Tribolium castaneum: one gene and its partners. The protein of the gene in region 1 interacts with the protein of each later gene in a pairwise test. Links are inferred from orthologs where the notes say so. Each region holds a gene or a part of one and is shown on either strand. Other genes may lie near its edges.

The links.
Region 2: the proteins of SkpA (region 1) and slmb interact in a two-hybrid assay, tested with the Drosophila melanogaster proteins (3 studies listed by BioGRID). The link is inferred for Tribolium castaneum from reciprocal best matches to the Drosophila melanogaster genes SkpA and slmb.
Region 3: the proteins of SkpA (region 1) and F-box/LRR-repeat protein 21 interact in a two-hybrid assay, tested with the Drosophila melanogaster proteins (2 studies listed by BioGRID). The link is inferred for Tribolium castaneum from reciprocal best matches to the Drosophila melanogaster genes SkpA and CG4911.

Annotation. Positions count from the first base shown.
Region 1 is NC_087402.1:1,037,064-1,044,921, reverse strand, and holds SkpA (S-phase kinase-associated protein 1), read left to right. Parts: upstream 1-4,523; 5' UTR 4,524-4,601; coding exon 4,602-5,090; 3' UTR 5,091-5,183; downstream 5,184-7,858. Other genes in the region: protein lava lamp, read right to left, coding at 1-562, 614-712, 762-1,941; mitochondrial ornithine transporter 1, read left to right, coding at 2,320-2,386, 2,437-2,970, 3,122-3,435; uncharacterized protein LOC103312555, read right to left, coding at 3,542-3,695, 3,743-3,817, 3,866-4,005, 4,237-4,239; 1,5-anhydro-D-fructose reductase, read right to left, coding at 7,035-7,739, 7,791-7,858; mRpL23 (large ribosomal subunit protein uL23m), read left to right, coding at 6,682-6,695, 6,744-7,023.
Region 2 is NC_087397.1:4,518,438-4,525,119, forward strand, and holds the end of slmb (supernumerary limbs), read right to left. Parts: intron 5,493-6,682; exon of another isoform or gene 5,246-5,492; intron 5,191-5,245; coding exon 4,959-5,190; intron 4,910-4,958; coding exon 4,723-4,909; intron 4,674-4,722; coding exon 4,217-4,673; intron 3,320-4,216; coding exon 3,057-3,319; intron 3,000-3,056; coding exon 2,810-2,999; intron 2,200-2,809; coding exon 2,064-2,199; intron 2,015-2,063; coding exon 2,004-2,014; 3' UTR 1,625-2,003; downstream 1-1,624. Other genes in the region: nucleoporin NDC1, read left to right, coding at 1-775.
Region 3 is NC_087396.1:16,684,315-16,690,996, reverse strand, and holds the start of F-box/LRR-repeat protein 21, read left to right. Parts: upstream 1-1,430; 5' UTR 1,431-1,560; coding exon 1,561-1,591; intron 1,592-1,682; exon of another isoform or gene 1,683-1,810; coding exon of another isoform or gene 1,811-1,841; intron 1,842-1,919; coding exon 1,920-2,121; intron 2,122-2,170; coding exon 2,171-2,413; intron 2,414-2,462; coding exon 2,463-2,700; intron 2,701-2,748; coding exon 2,749-3,345; intron 3,346-4,621; coding exon 4,622-4,753; 3' UTR 4,754-6,682. Other genes in the region: Prosbeta4 (proteasome subunit beta type-2), read right to left, coding at 175-498, 544-737, 785-875.

The DNA of each region.
Region 1 (7,858 bases):
TTCATATTCAGGTTCAAATTTTCCTGCTTCAATTGTTCCATCTTCTCCATGACTTCTCTTCGTTCAACCGTAAACAACTCGATTTTCTGAAGCAATTCGGACGTTTCTTCAGTCAATTCGTTAACACTTTCGTTCAAATCGACTTGTGGAAGATTCTCTTCGCTTGCTTTCAAATTACCACCAACCAAATCTAAATTCTTGTGATAGGCTTCCAGTTCGAGTTTTTCCTGCTGGGTCAGATTTTCAACAATTTCGATACTTTCAGCCGACGAAACTTTTTCCGCACTCAACTTTTCCAATTTATCGATCAATTCCATATTTTCCTGAATGTAGTGTTCCAATTTTGTTGCCACTTCTTGTTTTTCCTTCTTCAATTGTTCCAACTGTTCACCCAACTGTTCTTTCTCTTTACAAATTCTTTCGTTTTCTTCAACTAACTGTCTCTTCTCACTTTCAACACGTTCGAGTTGCTCCTCAAACTGAATGGAAACCATTTCAGACTTGACTTGACCGTTCAATTTCTCGTTCAGATTGTCGATTTCGGTTTTCGATCGCGAAATTTCTACCAAAAAAAAAACACTTAATTATTGTACAAGACATTAAAACAACTCACCGGATTCTAAAATTGAAATAATCTTGTCCTTTTCCTCCAACATTCTCTCGTGATCTTGGATTTTATTTTCCAACTCATTTTCACGTTCTGTTTCAGAACCTAAAACCGGTAATTCCCCCAAATTGTTTAATTTCGCACAATTTTTTACCTTTGTTGGAATCAGATTCCACCAACTTCAACTGTAGACTTCCCTTCTCCTCCTCCAATTCGGCGATTTTCTGACTCAAACGGCTATTTTCCGCCTCGAGTTTAACAATTTCCGCATTGGCGTCGCTCATTTTTTTGAACGACTCGATTTTCTTGGTCAATTCTTTAACTTTGGATTTGTGCTGTGCCTTGACCTTGATCATGTTTTTATTGGCTTCTTCCAATTGTTTTTTCAGCTTGGCCACCTCTTCGCTTTCTTGACTCTCCTCCAATTTCACCTCCAACTCTCTTATTTTATCCAAGAGACGCGAATTTTCCGTCTTTAAATCCAGTTCTAAATCTTCGGCTTTCTCACTTATTTGTTTTTCTAAATTGGCATTGGTTTCCTGTAGTTCGGCAATTTCGTAATTTTTGAGCCTCAAATCTTCGAGGAGTTTCATTTGGCGAGCTTTCATTTCCGCCTCCAAGGCCACAAAGTTCTCCTGCATTTTCCTCATCTGTTCCTTGGTCTCGTCCAACGTATCCAGAGTGTTTTTCCCTTTCCGACTCAAATTTTCCGTCATCAAGGTGATAGCTTTAGTTCTGGCATCAATGACCGAATCCTTCTCCTTCAAATTTTCTTGCAAGTCAAGGACGTTCGTTTCCAGTTTCTGCACCTTAGCCAAAAGGTCACTAATGCGTTTTTCCTTAGTCAATAAAACAGCATACAACTCCTGGGCATTGGAATTCTCACTATAGTCAATTTTCGGGTCTTGAAGCGATAAATTAAGAGGCGACTGACTGATTAAATGTTGCGAATCGTCTAATTGTGCCTTGAGCTGCGTCACCATTTCCTCAATCCCTTTCTGACTCTTCCCCCTTTCAGCAAGTCTCACCTTATTCTGCTCGACTTGCTGTCTCAGGAGGTTAATTTTTTGGCTTGCGGGAATGTCTAGTGTTTTTTTGGCGCCGTTATCGCTGGACTTCTTCGCCCGACGTTTCGACAAAGTGTTCATATACTCATCGACTTTTTCCTGCGTTACGTTAGTTTGCTCATTTTTCCGGATCATTTCCTTCAGTTGTGCGATCAAGACTTGCTGTTGCTCGAATTGGTCTTTAAGATCCGACAGTTCTTGACTGGAACCGGGGGGCGCCCCCGGATCGGGGCCCCCGCCTGGGTCCTGTCCAGGACTCTGAGACATGCTTGCTACCTTAAAGCACCCCCCAAATTAAGGCGAGACACACCAAAGGGCCCCTAATACCTTATTTTCGCCACAATATGTTAACTGGAAGAAAAGTGGTGTTTATTTGCTGACACTTGACGTTACACGTCACGTCGCTACCAACAAAGCGGCCCGAAAATTACTAATTTGACACGGAAAAGGGGGCTGTTTAGGTTGGGTTCTTTGTGGTTTCGCTTGATTTTGGCCAAATTTGCGTAATTCTGGCCGCGGGGGCGCCAAAATGGGGGAATTGGGTCAGGGTTTGAAGCACACGTGACATAACCTCTCGATCAAAACAATCACGGTTTTATCGGATAAGTTAATTGTTATCAGTACTTCACATGCCATGCTGAAGAAATGTCCGAATCTAAGAGGGACAACCATGCTAAAGACGGAATCATTGATTTCACGGCCGGTTTTTTGGGTAATTATCACGTGTTAGGGGATTTGAACCCGAAAAAAGTGTTTTTCAAGGGGGCATCGCGTTGGTTTACGTCGGCCAGCCCCTGGACACCGTCAAGGTAAAAATGCAGACGTTTCCAAGCTTATACAACAACATGATTGATTGTTTCATGAAAACGTTACGCGCAGATGGAATTTATCGCGGTTTGTATGCCGGTACAGTCCCGGCTTTGGCGGCAAATATTACCGAAAATTCCGTTTTGTTTCTTTGTTACGGCTTTTGCCAGAAATTTATTCAAAAAGTTAGTTATACCGAACACGTGGCTGATCTAAGCATGATGCAAAATGCCACAGCGGGTTTTTTGGCCTCGTTTTTCTCTTCGGTGGCGATTTGCCCCACGGAACTTCTCAAATGTAAGCTCCAAGCGATGTTTGAGACGCAAAAACAGCAAGAAATGCAAGGGTTCAAAGTGGTCAGAGTGGGGCCCATGAAGCTGGCAGCGCAAATATTGAAGACCGAAGGGCCTTTGGGGTTTTTTCACGGGCTTGTGCCCACGTTAGTTAGGGAAATGCCGGGGTATTTTTTCTTTTTTGGGACTTATGAAGGTAAAATCATCGAGTGACCCGTGACTTCGAAATTAAGTTGGCAGTGCTCAGGTACCGTTGAGTGATTTGAAAACAGTTACGTAGTTTTCATGTTGCCAACTTAATTGCGAAGCCATGGGCCCTTCGGCAAGTTGGTAACTGTGTGATTTAGGGACTAGGACTTTGCTAGCGCGTCCGGGGGAGTCCAAGGACGATATAGGCTTGTTTAAGACAATGGTGGCGGGGGCTTTGGGGGGCATGTCTTTCTGGACGTTGACTTATCCAGTCGATGTGGCCAAAAGTCGGATTCAAGTCACTAATAGTAAAATGAATATGGTTGCAATGATTTTGCAAATATCGAGGCGGGAAGGCTTCAGACAGCTTTATAACGGGTTGACTCCAACGTTAGTTCGGACTATTCCATCCACTGCCACTCTTTTTGCAACTTACGAGTATTCCAAAAGATTCCTCCACCAAATTTTCTGATTAGAAATAAAACTCGAACATAGTTTTTATATTTTATTTTTATCCAATAAATAAATAAATAGGAATACTGGGGTAATACTGTCCGGCCTGTCTTTTATTATTCTCCTCACTTCAGATAATTGCTATTTTCGGGATCGAACTCGGGGGACGATTCTATGGCTTTTTTCAGTAGTTCCCCGAAAAGACTCGGACTGTTAAGGATTGTAGGGAAATCGCGGGACCGGTCAATCCCCGAAAAATCGGAATCCAGGGCTGGCACCCTAACAAATGAATCAAACTTTTGCACTTTAATTGTTTTAATGACTACCTGTACTCGTCACTGAGACGGCTTAAAATGTCTCGCTTTTGCTGCCCGCGGCACACGGGAGAAAAAATGTGTGTCCTTAAATAATTAATTAATTAAATAAACCTGATATTATGTAATTAGTACCTGCAATGATTTTTTTTCAGCAAGTTGGGGTTTTTGACCAAAGCCCCGTGGGTAATTTCAATAGATAGGAAAATAATGCTGACGAATAACAACAAAGTGATTCGGTGGTCCGTAATGGACTTTTTCATTGTTGTGGAACCCTAAAAATCAGATAACAATTTGTTTGTGTTTTGCTCCAAAACACTTGAGAAGTCAAGTTAGATAAGAATTGGAAGTTTTCAAGTAATAAAGATTCGGTCAATTGTTGCGTCAGATTGTTACAATTAGTTGTTTTTATGCAATAAAGAGTGTTATCGCAAAAATTTCAAAATAATGTGTAAGAAAGAGGGTGATAAGGAGAAAATCAAAAAAGACGACTCAGACAGACTTACCATTGTTTGGCTTGGAGACAGGCGGTGAAGACGGACAATCTGGCTCCCAAATTCTTGGGCCACCTCTTTTAAATCAAGAGCGGGGTCTTGCGCAAACCAAGTGCAACAATTTTAACGCACAATTAAGCTTTATATTGCGGCTCTTCCCATATTACATTATCCGAGGCAAATAACGCGCTACGTGTTTTGATGAAAATTTTGCCGCGTCATTGCGTATTTGCTGCAATAACTCGTTTTGAATTAATTTGTTTATAACAATTGGTTCGAATCTGGCGCCCGTGTGGGGACGCTTGCGCGTTACACCTGTCATCCACCATTATTGCCGTCTATTGTCATATTCTGTCATCGAAGAAAAACCGTGAAAAATGCCGAATATTAAACTGCGTTCCTCCGACGGTGAAACGTTCGAGGTGGACGTGGAGATCGCGAAATGTTCAGTGACCATCAAGACCATGCTGGAGGACCTGGGGATGGACGAGGAGGAAGAGGAAGTGGTGCCTCTCCCCAATGTCAATTCGGCGATTTTGAAGAAAGTTATCCAGTGGTCCACTTATCACAAAGATGATCCTCCACCGCCCGAAGACGACGAGAACAAGGAGAAACGCACGGATGATATTTCGTCATGGGACGCCGATTTTCTCAAAGTGGACCAAGGCACTTTGTTTGAGCTGATCCTGGCGGCGAATTACCTGGACATCAAGGGGCTGCTCGATGTGACTTGCAAGACAGTCGCCAACATGATCAAGGGCAAGGCCCCCGAGGAGATCCGCAAGACTTTCAACATCAAGAACGACTTCACAGCCTCCGAGGAGGAGCAAGTGCGCAAGGAGAACGAATGGTGTGAGGAGAAGTAAACTCGTATTTTTTTTATTTAAGATTATTTCCAAAATTGCGTTCATTGTTTTATTGTAATATGATTATTTAAATCAAACGCCATTTCGACCCAACTGGTTGTTTATTTGCACCTTAACCAATTATAATAGGTGTCGGATAAAATATAGTATACAAGTGTTAAAATACGCCATAATCATCGCAAGACCCCGCCTCGTTCCCGCAAATGCGGGCCCCCATAAACGCCCCCATTAAAACCGCTACAAATATCATCGTTAAAAACCCTAAAAAGTACAGCCACGTCCTGGAGGAACACAAGGACCACCAACACCTACAACTCGCAATTAATTGGCAGCTTTTTAACCACAACTAACCCTCGGGTAAAACACCCATTTCGCTTGATTTCATCCTCCACGAAATTTTCCGACTTGGATAGTTGTTCATTCATTAATTTAATAATTTTGCATTTGATGTGTTTGAGCTTCTGTTTCGTTTCCAAAACGTCGCAGTCACAATCATCATCACGGCTCATTAAACTGGAATTGTGTTAGGATTAAGGAAATTCAATTTGTAGTGTGCAAATTGAGATTATGACGTTAAGGTGTCATTTTGGGCACGTAACTTCAGTGTCACAAAGGGACCCCGAATTACGAGCTAAACCACTGACCTGGTTTCTTGCCAATTCTGTTTGTTTGTCAGTGTACATCAGCGATTTTTGAATAAACTGTTTTTTATCAAATAACTAGTTTTTTAATTTAATAATCCCGCATTCTTGCATTTGTTCCACAACAATGATTGTATTATTTTAATTCTCCAAGTGCAAGTTTTTGTAGTTTTGAAAAAAGTAGGAATATTTTCGGCGTCAGCAGGGTGGTGAAACCTAAATGCACCAAGCCAAGTATAGGCGCCAAATTCAAAATCGACTGTAGTTCGGCTTGCTATCGCAGATGTCGCACACACGTATAGTCAATTTTAGCGAAGCTACCTATAATATCGGCAGAAATTAACAGTGGACCTGTGACAGTTGCCATTGTGTAAATCGCCATTTTGTGCTTGGTTTGTTTGGTGTTCGCCCTCGGCTTTGTTTTATGTGAAATTAGTACTGTTTTGTGGTTTTTTTCGTGTGTGTGCTTTTTTGAACTTTTTTATTGTGGGAATATAAATAATTTGATGGATCAATCATTAGTTTATAGTTATCGTATCGTGTATATTGACTAGTGATAATAAATTTTTATTACAAGTTTATTGTCTTTATTTATTCTCATATTTTATTTTTCGTATTCTTTGTAAATATTCAGCAACAATAGTTGTCTAACATCAGAAAGTGTTATTAGCAACTATTGTTGTGAATATTTACAAACAATACGAAAAATGCAATCAAACTTTAAAAGAAAAGTAACTACGGGCAATTCAAATCGCCCGCCGATAACGCTTAGTACGCGCTGGCAACAATAGATGTGCTAGTGACACTTTCGCTCTATCCGGACAAGGACAGATGCGTTTCTGTAAAACCTGTTATTCTGTGGGCGTCAGGTTGGTAGCACGCGCCATAGTCAACGTAACCTCAACTTTAGTCTCATTTAATTCAAAAATATCTCAACAAATCGAGCGAGAATGTCCACAAGATGGTAATTTTCGAGCACATTGTTAGCCCTAGTGCGAGTCTTGCCCCTTAGGTACCCCATTTATCAAAGAGGGGGCCCGCAGTTGCGCGTCTTCTTGCCCAACTTTTGGCTCAAATTGGTGCGCCCCACGCACGAACAGCCGCCTAACATCGTCCAGTTCTCATGTTCGATGCAAATGACCAAATACGACATTAGGAATTATTTAGAAAAAATCTACAATATTAAGGTGGTTGATGTGCGGACTCGGATCGCTCTGGGGCCAACGAGACGCGTCCCGGCCAAGGGTTACGTGGTGAAAGACGAGGATATTAAATACGCGTACGTGACTCTGGTAAGTGTTTATTAAAATTCGATTTTGAACGGGAAGTATTTGTGGTCGGCGTGGTTGCTCTGGGGGCTGCATCTTTGATTCTTGTTGCACGCGTCCAAATACGCAATGTCGTCGGTATCTAGCCGAAAGTCGAAAATGTCGATGTTTTCGGCGATGCGTGACGGGGTGACCGATTTCGGAATGACCGAAATCCCCAATGAAACTAGATAGTTTAAGACGATTTGTGCGGGCGTTTTGTTGTATTTTTTCGCCATTTCGATGACTTTGGGGTCGTGGATCGTGGGGGTGGGGAAATTGGGGCGCAGGCCGACGTAATTGCTTCGTCCCAAGGGGCAAAAACCGACAACCACAATGTCGCGGTCTTTGCAAAATTTGATCAGTTTTTTCTGGTTGATGTTGGGGTTGACCTCGACTTGGTTAACCACCGGTTTGATTGTGCAGTTTTGGAGAATTCGGGTGATTTGTTCGCTGTTGAAATTCGATAAACCGATACTTTTGGCTAGGCCTAGTTTAACACATTCTTCCATCCCTTGCCACGTTTCGATGTAATCGACGTCACTGTACCCGGAAGAATCCGGAGGGAGTGTCGGTGCGGTCTCTTTGAACCCCATAGGCCAGTGGATTAGGTACAAATCGACATAGTCTAAATTTAGCTTCTTGAGGGAGTCTCGTAACATGGGGACCACACTGTTTTTCGCATGGAAATTGTTCCATAACTAAAAATTAATTAATTAACTCGATAATTTGGCTTGATCCAAGTGTTTTACTTTGCTCGTTATGAAAATATCCTCGCGTTTGATTGTACCATCGGCGATTTTTGCGTGAATCCCCTGAC
Region 2 (6,682 bases), on another chromosome or scaffold:
AATGCGGCGACAGTTACTCTTCACTTTATCACAACCTGGAGGACATCCCCACAACTGGAACTCCTTGACTGAAAGTGTGCTAAAACTATTCTCGGACTACACCAACCTTTTGAAAAAATCTACAGAACCACCAACGCAAGAAAAACCGAAGAAACAAACCGAAACCATCACTCCATTTTCACCAGTGGTCCAATCACCTCAAACAGATCCGAGTCTCAAGTTCAGGAATTTAAGAAATTTGTCGATGAGTAGTGATTACTTGGATGTGGTGAATGTCACACACACTGGATCTTCAAATAGCGTCAAATCGTTCAAGAAAAGTATTGATGAAAGTGTCCAGAAAATTGTTTCGTTCGTGAAAATCCTGTTTGGAATAAATTTCCTGTTTGGGGAGTTGCCCCAAGTCAACATTCAGAAGTGTTTGGGGAATGGACAATTGATAATTTGGGCAAGTCAGGGAATTTCCGAACTGGCGGCTGTTTCGTTGGTTGAGGATAAATACGGCATAGTTCAGAAGGACTTGCCTGTGATTATATCAAGTTTGGTTCAGTTGAAACAGAGTTTGGACAAACTGAACAAAGTCCCGTCTTTGTCGAGGAAAGTCGCAGCTCTGGACGATTTCAATTATCGGATGAAAAATGCTGTTATTGCAGCCGTTAAACACAGTTTATTTAAAATTTGTTTGAACTTTGGGGAATATTTTAGCGATGTTCCGCTGAGTAAAGACGTCCTGCATTATTTGCAGATTAATTTTATGTTGAAAACGCCTAACTAAATGTTGCCTCAATTAAGACTGTACTGTTTTTATTTAATAAATTTTTGGGATAATTCCGTTTTTAATTGCGAAATAAAACCAGGGTTTGTCTCAGCAAAATGTATTACTTACACGCATAAAATATAAATAACTCTAAATAAAAATAGTAAATGCAAATGATGTTACCACTACATTCATAATATTTACATTAACCTATAAAATGATTTAGTGCCTTATTGATAGTGTTTTTTTTTAACATGAATAGTGTACATTCCAGTTATAGTACAAAACAGGCATACAAATTTTACTGTAAGATTTTATCACAAAAGCCGTTATAAGTTTACTTGTAAATCTAATCTAGGAGAAATACTACATTTTGGCAGAATCGTCTAAAATAAATAGCAAGAACAGCCCGTGGCCACTTCTTGGAATCCCAGTACACTTGCAGCCTCATTAAATTAATGCACCAAACAAAACAAAAAGTACTTTTGGTTGCAATCATTTTCCCATAATAAATATGGAGAACCCTAAATAATAGATCACAATTTCCAACTTGATGAAAATGATGTAAAATAATCCTAAACTAAAATTAATCATCACTGAATTCACCCCAAAATCCTATAAATTTAAAACTTACTATACAATTTTTGCCGACTAAACTCACTTTCTAAGTTTGCAAAGAATGATTACAGACTAGAAAGCCCAACAAACTGTAGAAACCGCACTATAGTGTGAGAATTTTAAAACAACTTGATTCCTAAAATAACGTGTGTAGCCTATCATTGAAATTTCATAGACTAGAGAGCTAAAATTAGTTGTTCATTTTTGCAAATTCAACGATAACGAAATAAAACAAATGTAAAACGTCAACAAGATTAATGGCGCACACGATGAAAACCGCACTTTAGATGTTTTAAACGTACTATCACATAATTCGTAGTTAAACTCATTTAGGTTACAACAGATCAACAGAGGTTTTGTGTCGACATCTTAATTCGGTCTAGGAAACACAACAGCAAAAATTTTTCATAAAGACGAAACACGTAAAAAACGAACTCCAATTATGTCAAATACGCTTCATATTATAAATTAAGACATAAATATATCCAATTTAAATATAACATTATACACAATTATTACAAATAATTTTCTAAATTTTATATTCCTAGTCAGTTTATGCGAGCACTTGCTCCAAAATTGTCTCTTCCACACTCACACACACATGATGACAAATTGGCTTCTGGACAATTTACTCAAACGCTGAAATTGGAAACGTTAAAAAATCAACAATAACACACAACCAACGTACGAGAGGGCGAAGGCGATTTCGTGTTTCTCTCTCCAATTGAGTTGAGGAAATTCCAAATAAGAATTGTATCATCGTGCGAACTGCTCACTATTTGAAACTCGTCAAACTGCAACCTGAATACTCTACCTGTGTGTTCCTGAAAACAAGAAACACCAACGTTTAGACACCCGGGAATGGGTCTCACACCCACCGAAACTTTATGAATGCAATCAGTCAAAAAATCATTTAAGACATCAATGGTATGAACACCTAATAGGCTCATTTAGCACGGTTCCTTAAACTAACGCAACAAGCATTTAACTTCAAGTGCAAAATACCTGCCAAATCGCGACTATTATGGAAAAAGAAAGATTTCGTGTACAAATGGCCAAAACAAAAAATTGTTCTTTCGATTCTATCTCTAATTATAATTAAAGTGCCATCCATTTTCTGCTCATGTTACAAAATATTTATGATACTGATGCGTTTTTCATCGAGAAAATGGTCACTTATCCCAGCAATGATACTATTTCTCAACAATTATCACTTATCAGCGAACAGTGAAGTGAAGTACATATTAACCCGTAACATTATTTCGTAACTTGAAATAAAAAACACTAAGTGGGCCCATTAAAGGACAAGCAAGCATAACAACTTTACCTGCAATCGCTCAGTTAAAAATTAGCCCTTTATTAACTCTATTAAATGAAATGTCAAGCGCTGCGTTATGATATTAGATGAATTTAATGACTGTACTATTAACTTACTACCAATGTTCGAAGACATAAAGCACTGGCCGGCGTTCTGGGATCAAGCGCGGCAACGAGATCCCAAACTTTAATTTTCCCATCATAAGCCCCGCTGACAATCCGTTTCGAATCGAAACGGATACAACGCACTAACTCTTCGTGCCCTTCAAGCACCCGCAGACAAGCGCCACCTTCGATATCCCACAACCTGGAAATCGATCGTGTTCTGTGGTTTCTTTATCGCGCATTTAACCGCAATGTTTACCTTATGGTATTGTCCGAACTTCCGCTTACGACCAACCTATCTCGGTATTGCAAACAGGCGATCCCCCGTTTATGTCCGTTTAACGTTCGCATAAACTCACAAGTTGAGGTGTTCCACACTTTTATCGTTCGGTCACCCGACGCCGAAACTATGTATTTCTCGTCGAAATCGACCACGTTCACGGCGGCCCTGTGCCCCACCAGCACCCGCCGCAGGGTGATCTCGTTCGGCGATGTCATGTCCCACACAGCTATCGAGCGATCCTGAAAAAAACAAACATTAATTCGCAAAACGGCGTTAAAAACCCATTCTCACACGTTACCTTTTCAAAAATAATTAGGTTAAACCAAATTTACATTTTATAGCTCATTTTTTTGTAAGAATCATTTGTGCAATGCCTTTTTTTTAATTAAACGCCAATACGAGCGCTACTTTAATGAATAACTTTGACCTTTTAAAGCGCGCCCCTTTTTTAGGATCGGATTTGTTCCACCCACAAGCTTTGTCCGTTTTCAGTACAATTGGCCAAGCTTTAGCTTATGCCAATAATAAATCCATTGCTATTATTAGTAAAAAGTAACTAATAATAGCCCAAGGTTTTATTGGGGAAGGAACTTGAATTAATTTTCGAACGAAAATTAATTGGCAATCACGTACCGTTTCGTAATTTATAAAAACGAATTTCATGCGATGCATTTACTTTCGTTTTTGTTAAAAATAAAACCCAAACAGGAAGTGTGAAATTTGTAATTAAGTGTCCAATTAGAGCTAGTGCACCATAAAATAAATTCTTGGACAAAATTAGAGTGCTTTCTTTTTTCAATTGTGGAGTTTTTATGTTAATGTCTCATTCTCGGATGTGACCCCGAAATAACTTTGCGTTTCATTATCATATAAATATTCCTTTGTAGTTGCAATATCCAGATATAATCCATGATTTATTGTTTTAATGGTGGAAGTAACGATAACGGGGAATATTTGTCCGTTTTTAATCCGAATTGTATTCGAGTTCAAACAGTGGGAATTTACGATCGCGATCTGCTGACGAGTCTGACACATATTTCAAGAAAAAATCCAAGACCGAGTTTCTAACGGTGGTTTAATTGCGGGCGGTTTTCACTTGGTTCGCTAATGAAGTTCCAATACGGTTTTCGACTTACTTTTGAACAGGTGACCATCATTCCGTTATTGAATCTAAGATGAAGGACGGCTTCGCAATGATGTATGAGCGTATTGACCATTTCTCCCGTGTTAACGTTCCAGACGCGCACAGTTGAATCACTAGAACCACTAATAATAACTTTATCGTCGTATTGTAAACACAAAACCGATCCCGTATGTCCTATAAGAACTTTAGTGCACTGCAATGTACTTCTGTCCCATATTTTAATAGTATTGTCCCTGAGACCCGACACGATTTTCTGATCGTCGTACTGCAAACAGTAAACCCCTTTGCTATTTTCGGACCGGCAGTTGATTCGCTGCAAGATGTGCCGACCGTTCCGCCAATTACTTTCTATGCTTTCGATATCGCGGATGATTTTCGGGAAAAGGGCTCGATAGAACGAATGGGGACGATGGTTCTCGCCAGGTCGTGGTTTGAATAAATATTGTATCCTGAAATTTGCCAAGTTAAACACCCACTAACTCGGGTTTAATTCAGTACCATTGTCTGCGTTCGGCTAAACCTCTCCACAGTGAATCCGTCCGAACTTTCCGCTCGATTAGCTTCTTCCAAAGCATACCCTCTGAGATTACCCTAAACCATTCTTTGCAGACCAACTCGGCGTTCCGTAAACTGTCCGCCTCCAAATATGACAATATATTCTCAGCGACGTGGTCCAATCCTTGCTCTGAAAGACAACTCAAAAAATCCGCTGGGACTAACGTTTCGGGACTTACTTGGTAAAAGAGATATGAAATCTCGCTGCAGCATGGGTTTCAAATAGGAATTGATGTGCCCGTGTTGGTAGTGACACATCCTAGCTAGTAAATTTTCTACGAATTCGACTTGGTCGGTTTCGCTCCATTTTTCGAAGCATTTCAGACATGTTTCTCTCTCCGCGTTAAAAGTAGCCGAAGGCTCTTTCTTCCTGGCCGTATCGTACGGTGATAATATTGTCATTGGATACTGCTGTAAAGGAAACACAAACGATTACGATGGAACAGACATCTGCAAACAAAATTACCGTTATGTTCCGAAATAAGCGAGATACGAGCTAAATTTAGCTAAACCTCAGTAATCAACATATTAGATAAAGGAAATTACAAATACCGTTTGTCGCTATTTTTATGCACCTAATGAACCCGTCTGAGAACAAATAAAACTGAACATAAACATAAAAGATAACTGTCGACGAAAAAATGATAAGACAATAATTAAATGTAAATTGTAGAAAGTTGAACGCCTTGTGCACGCACAAATCGCTGATTTACTTCTGATATCCGAGGCGAGCTTAGATGTACTAAAGGCGGGAAAAATGTTCATCTGGTGACTCTCTTTTTCCTCAACATAAGAATAATCTCATAAATAAAGCACGCTCGACATTCAGGACAAAATTAACATACACGGTACACTTGAACTAGAATGACTGCTAGGAGACAAGACGAGTTTCCGAGGACGGTTCCATGAAATTGTTTTTTCTGTTGTCTAATCGCGATCTAATATCGACACAAAACCTCTAATTAATCGAGCGTAAAAGCCGAATTTTATGAAATGGAGAAACCGCAACGTTTTCCCTCTTTAATTGCGGCGCCTAATGACGTCAATTAATTAAACGAGCTGTCTAGAAAACGTGATTTTGAAAAATTTTGCTTGTGACAACAATAATTAATTTACATTTAATTTACCATCACCGGAATAGATTGCGTTGTCATGAACCGCGTATTTTCTTACATCTTGTTCAAGGATTATTTATGGCAAAATCGATTAGTTACGATTCAATTCACTGGACGGTTTGAAATGAATTTTTTACGAGCTGCACTCAAAGACAGAGTGCAAGAAATTTCAATTTTTCGCTTTACCAACCAAATTCCATAGTTCAAAATTGTTTCGTTGTAAAGTGAACTTACTTTTTCGCTCTTTCACGAGATAAATTCGATGATTTCCTGGTACAAAAATTCTTCCAAAAAATTGCAGTAAAATAACCTTCGCTTAAAATGTATTCAAAATATTTGTTTAGAAAAAATCGCAGTCTTCACGGCCAAACCTTTGTTACAATCCTTTCAAAGACTGTCTGGAGTTGAGCAACACTACGATTTTACTATGTATTTGTCAATGACAAAGTTATGCACTCAGCACTAATACAAAGTTATTACTCCATCCCAATTAACAAACAATGTGTAATCCTTCAACCAAATTACTACAAATATTAACATTCGAGCAGGTAGTTTGAAACTAGTTATTAGCTAATTAAACATATACGTGCGCCATTATAAATTTCTAATCCAATTATTCATTTCAGTGAATTATGACATTAACAATCGGACGGCTTCGTCTTTACAACGTCCAATTTATTCGTTTAATACAGGATAAAATGAAACAACAACTACGTAAATAGCATTTCCACCTACACATGCCTCATCAACTTTGCATGCACTAAGCCTGATCCAAAAACAATTTATTT
Region 3 (6,682 bases), on another chromosome or scaffold:
TCTATTTATTATATAATTCAATTTTTATATTCCATCCTTAAAGTTTGTTAAGTACTGTTATTTTTAAAAACTGAATATTTTCTATTAAAAGTATTGAGAATTTTAAATTACGCAACACTTCAACCCAACAAAAAATAAACAAAGTTTTTATTTAAAAATTTATTAATACGAAAATTAAGCATCTTTCAAACTCTCAAGTGTGATGGTGGGCATGTCGTGGACTCCGTCCTTATCAACAACCTGGACTTTAAAATTCGGCAAATTAACAATAAGCCTAGTGTGAACCTCCTTTACACATTTTTTCAACAATTCGTAACCCTGGTCCTTTGTCATCGTCGGTAAATAATTCCTGTCCATAATAGACAAGGAGAAATAGCCCCCGTAGCCATGCGCAGCGTAATCCACACTTGCCACAGACGCCAAATAATCCATAAAGTACAACTGGGGCCCCTCTTGGTTGTCATACCCAGCCAAAAGCAAATTCACATGATAGGGCGTCTACAAAATAAACGTGAGTCTCCGTACGCCCCTGCCTTTGCATACCCTAGATCGTAGATTATCGGCCAAAATGCGGCGTGTGAAGTGCGACGCCTCCTTGGGGCTCAATTCGTAGTTATTCCGCATTTTGTACAACTGAACGTTCTTCGCAATGTATTCGGCGAATTGGTTGGTGTCGCCTTGCTCCCCCGCGATGGCCATTGCCAGTTTGTTGGACAATTTGTAGAGTTTATCCTCGTCTGAAAAACCGCTAGGGTTGTCGGTCAAAAACGGGGTAAAAACATACCTGTCTTCATGACCATTATGCTGTGAGCGTTGGTCATGTCAGCGGCGATAATCGCGAAATCGTTAAATTTGATTCCAATGAGACAATCCATTTTTTTGAAACTAAAAGAACTGCTTTGTAATGAAAAGTTGAGGTTACGTTTTTGAAATGTCAACTCATGCAATATGGCGCATGTGTTGTTGCCAAATCAATTGCTTGAAATTAAAAAATAATTAATTATTAAATAAATTTTTGAAGAGTAAATAAAGCCACGGCTTACCACATACGGAATTTGTTGCAATAAATGCTTTCAATATTTTTTATATAACTTTTTGGCTTTGGAGGTGGACAAAAAGCGGGAAATTTGGAAGTTCATGCTTAAATGTTGAGTAATTAGTACATAAGTCCACATAAATAGCATGTGTGGGTTTTAATCGAACATACTTCATCTATGAATAACTAATTTAACTGTAAAAATTGTTTTTATCGCATAAAATGGGTTTCATCTGTTGACTGTCAAATTACGTTTTTGATGATATTGCATGATTGAAATTCGTTTGTTACGGCAAAAATATTAAAATTGTGAAGCTCTTATTGATGTATTTGAAAAATTAGCTCAATATTGGTGGGGTTGTTGGGCAAGGTGACTTTTATGCATTCGTCCTTGAAACATGCGCTGTTGCCACATCCTCCCCATCTGACTGTTCATTGTTTTTCTTTACGTCAATTCGCTTCGAACTGTCATTGTAATCAAACATATGTAAAACTCCTCTAATCCGTTTTTCTAAGTTTTGTTAATGTTTTCCGATTATTACAAATGTAAACCAGGTACGTATTGTGTGTTTTTTTCGTGTTGATAATGCATGTTCTTGTGAACAAGTCCATTTGATTATAAAAAAACACAAGAATCCCAGTCAACTGTCGTCATATTAACTCTGAAAAAAATTAAGGATTTTTTTGAGTAATTTCTTCGACTTTTTGGTTTAAAATTCGTGATTTGGTAGTTCCTCCGTTAAAATTAGAAATAGTATTGACAGTGTTGTGATCATGTCAATAAAATTGATACGCAAAAGCAGTGGTAAATTTCCATCCTCACACACGTCCTTGCTAATTTCATAAAAGGGAAAGTAAATGACTAAAAAATGCGAAATTTTAGATATGAACAGTGACAATTTCGCCTGTTTCGGAGATTGCCCAAAGCCAAAAAAATCAAAGACTTCAGAGGAGGAACGAGTCGCGTTTTGGGCTCATCTTCCCTCGATCGTAATCCACGACATTTTCGACTTGTTGAGCAAAAATGACCGCCAGAATGCGTCCCGTGTGTGCAAAAATTGGCGACAGAACATCTTTCATCCAAAGTAAGTCACTTTCTCTTTTGCCCAATATCGCGCTAATATTACAATTCAGGTGGTGGCCGGAGGTCACTTTCAAAATCGAACCGTGCAATATCGAAAGGTCGAAATTTTTCACGTCGGTCTTCGGTCGGATCGTCTCCAGTGCGAAAATTCAAGTGAACACTCTGGCGCCGGAATGCACTGACGAGTTCGTCGCTCTCATCGAAACTCTAAGCGAAAATAACAATTTAAAAGAACTGATTATCGAACCCACGCATTGCCATTTCGATATCGCGAGATACAGCACCAAATCCAGGTACGACGACCCCAAAAAAAAAAGCCGTCTCACGAAAACCAAATTTCAGTTCGAATATGCATAATGTGATAGCCAAGTTAAAACGATGTCTCCCTAACTTGACCAAATTCAGTATCGGCTGCATCGAAGACTTTGCCCTTTACCTCGACGAGTACTTAACGATTTTAGGGAGCCAGCAGCCGGAAAAAGTTACACTTCTGGGGTTAGCGTCAGTCAAGGATAACCCGAACGAGTACGAAGATTCGTATTTTGAATGTGATTTAATTAAACCTTTTACGAATTTAAAGGTAGGTTTTCGCGGCCAATTGAACCAGTTTGAAACGGCTAATTTTCAGGTGTTGAGCATAGACTTCGACCAACTTTCGGACACCTTCCTCAGCTGCTTGGACGCCTCCACGCACCTGGAGCGCCTCGTGGTGCACTTGCACGGTGTCCGGGAGGGCCACCCTAGCACCACGAACGCCGCTTGGACCATCTTCAAAGCCAAACACCCCAAGTGCGAGCTCCGCGTCAACGTCATCCACTCGTACGACGAAGTCCAACACCTGCACGAAACCATCCTCAGAGACGAAATGCCCCTAACCCACCTCCGGGTGTTCTTTTGCGAACATGTCAACCTCGAAACGTTGGAGTTCATCTCAGCCTTCTACAACCACACGTTGCGGAGCCTCGTTTGGGTCGATTCCATGGGCAACAACGAAGAAACTTGGTCGTTCTTGGCGTCTCAGCGGGATCTGAGCCCCGATCCACTGGTCATGATGTCATGGCTGTGCTCCAATTTGAGCGAATTAGTCTTCTACGGTTACAAATATCGCGAAGAGAATTTGGTCGCCATCGCCAGACTTCGTGGCGAGAAATTGAAGAAGTTGGAAGTCGCTGAAGACGATGTGCTGTTTTCGAACAGCAATTATTTGGGGCAAGAAAATTTAATTGTGAGTAAAAAATCAACAGTTATTCAATCCGATTGTTGTTATTTAGACTGTGGCAAATATGCGAACAGATGTTGTTCAATTGTTTATGTTTGCACAATCAGCATTTTTCCACGGTGATACTGCTTTTAAGGCAAAATAATTGCGAAAGCAGGAAAAAACAAAACTGTGGACTGCCTTGACTCGTAATAACAATTGAATCTTTTATCATGACCGGTTAAGCTAAAACAAGTCAACATCGGCTCAAATGTTTTGTTATTTTTAAGGAACTGACAGGAAAAATTATAATTACGTGCTATTAAATTTAATACACTATAATTATCTGAACTAAATTTTAGACTCTAGTAAAAATATAATTTTGTAATAAAAAGGTGAATTAATAGCTATGAACTACATGTGCGATGGAATAATTCATTTTCTGTTCAAGGATGTAACAGTTAAGTTGCAATAAAGCAAGAATAATTATGTAATAAAAAATAATTAAACAGTACTTTTAACAGTTTTTGTTATCTTAATACTGACATGAAAACATAATCGCTTTGTGCGTACTAGTGCTAATTTTAATGTTAATTGAGTAAACTACGGATATCTAAACGCAAATTGATAATTCTCAGCGACAGTTCTTTGCACACCCCCCCATATTTATCAAAACGCTGGAAATACGGTTCAAGATACAAAAAAAATGTAAGGAACAAAGTTGTAGAGAATTGAATTTTCTACAAAAAAGTCCATATTTCTATCTTCTACAGTTTAGGTATAAAAAAAGTCTCCGTTACTTGACCACGTCTTGAGGGCCTAAACCGTTGATGATAGAGATACGGTCTCGCTGAGTTTTTTAAAGGAAATTTAATTTTCTTCAACTATCTTTTTGTATCTTTAACAGTATTCACAGTGTTTCGAAAAATACGGGACGAATTTTCAGTTTAATTTTTTTTCATATTTCTGATGAAAATTTTAATCAGCAGTTTTTCTTAGTCTGTTAACAGTGCAGAGTTCAACATTTTTGCATTTTTTCCAAGTAATTAGTGAATTGGTTGGATTTAAATAAATTTAAAACGAGTAGGCGCCGAGACGGTACAACATTCGAAGCGCCCTCATTTATACCCTGCCGTACTATTTTTTTGGGTTCAGAAAATTCTGCGATCCTAAGTTATCGTTTTCCGTAGAGGAAACTAAAAAATATTCAAAATTTGGTAAATGTGACAGACGCTGAAGGCGCTTTTATTTAGATTCACAATACTTTTCTTAGTTTTGAACTCGAGCTTTTCCCGTTTTTCAGGATATTCAGCTACACTTGAAGCAGCCGTGGGCCCCCACAAAGACTGCGGATCTCCACCCCGTCATCCGTAATCCGACGGCGGGAGATTCAGACGAGTACTTGTTGCCGATAGTTCTAGCTGACCTGCACTAGTTAAGTACAACAATTAAGCGAAAAAAAAAAAAACAAAAAACTGTAAATAAACCATCTACGTACGACCCAACTGAGAAGAATCTGTTTAGTATTATTTTCGAATGTTATAGTTCAACAACTGCATGTAAATAGAAAAAGGACCATCGTGCGACCTCGAGTTGCGCAGTTTAAATCTACTTAAAGTAATCAAAAAAAGAGAGAGAATTGTTGATTTATTTTTTTAGAATAATCATCGGTTTCGTTGAGTGACTTAAGTTGTTGTGCTGTAAATGTATTGTTTTAAGTCTACTTAAAATGCACTGATTTTACGTTTTCGATTATAAATGTTTTCCGTCGTGTTGGATGAATATTATCACGGTCCAAGCTCGACTAAGAATGACAAGTTGTTATTGTGTTCGATCTAATTAATTTTTGTTGTATAAAGTAGCGATAAGAAGAAAAACATCTGTGATATAAGTAACTCTTATACTTTCGAACAAACAACGATTGTTAACACACAAAATGCAGCTAATAATATTGAAGCTTTCTACCGAGTACCTGTACAAGAAAAATACTGTCGTTTCAATCTCAACTCGCTTAACGGCAAAAGAACTGACAAAACCAAGTTAACAATCGAATAAGAGTGTGAATGTCATTGCAGTGTTCCACCATGCGATAGTGCATTTTATTTTTTAATATGTTGTGCTTGTGATAGGTTCGATTTTAACAAAAAGTATTATTGTGTTGGTATGTAATTCTTTGTTGCCGCCTGCGTAAGCAACAAACACCAACATGTTTATTTTTATGAGATTTGTGTGTTAAAAGACACGTCACATCGAGATCGCTGTTATCGGAAAGGTGCTGTTCCTATATTTACACCACGACCAATAAAAATGAAAGAAATCCGTTTAGACGCCATTCCAATACCTTATTCCGTAGGATAATTAGTAGAGAAATGATATATCGCGTGTTTCTGTCCGGGGCCGTCTACATCTGTGATAGCGAAAATTTTCAAGAGTTCAACCAAAACAAATGCATTTGCTCGGGAAGGACAAACGGCCGCTGATGTGTGTGTGTATAAGCAAAGATCAAGTACCTGAATATCAAAGTGATTATAGCGAAATTAGCCTGCTATTGTAACTCTTAACCCTAGTCCAAAGCGTTGAATATTGAATAAAATCTTTATAATGTAATATAGAGTGTGAATGGGTGACTCCCGAACGCTTCCACCGGGATAGATTGTTTGAAGTTAAGTTGCCATCTTATCATGAAACTATCTGTGATGTACAAGCGGACACATTGTTAACAGCGTACATATGTTAAACAGCGCTCAAATGTTACAATGTAGGTCTCACCAGCTAGATTTAAGTGTTGTCAGAAATTCAATCGAACGACGCAATGAAATCGATATTTTATCAAAAATACGAAAACGTGTAGACAATAAATGGCTAGTAGGACAACACTGCACGATCGAGATGTCCCTCGATTGAAGGCAAGGGACGACAAATTAGTCATTTTTAATTTTCGGTTTGACTAAAATTTTGGAAAATATCTTGCGTATATTTTTGTATCCTTTGAAAGTTTATTTCCTTTATTTTTGGCACTGCGATGTACACTGCAGTTGTCTCTATCTTAATAATTGTAGCACCATTTGTTTATTTTTTATTCACGCACTTTTAATGTTAAATATGGCGAAGCGGTGATATCGTTACTGGCGGTATCATCGGACCCGAATATTTTCATTGTTATTGAGAAAATTTCTTTTTAGATTAGTTAGAATATAGAGAATTATAAAATGTAGCGTTGATTTTATGATATGAAATTTTTGAAATTTATCAATGTACTCCTTCAGTGTTATGAAATGTTCTCAAATTTAATCTCTAATCAGTATGTTATATCAAAAAATTATATTACGTTTTCAATGTAACCTGTAACTCAAATTGGTTAATA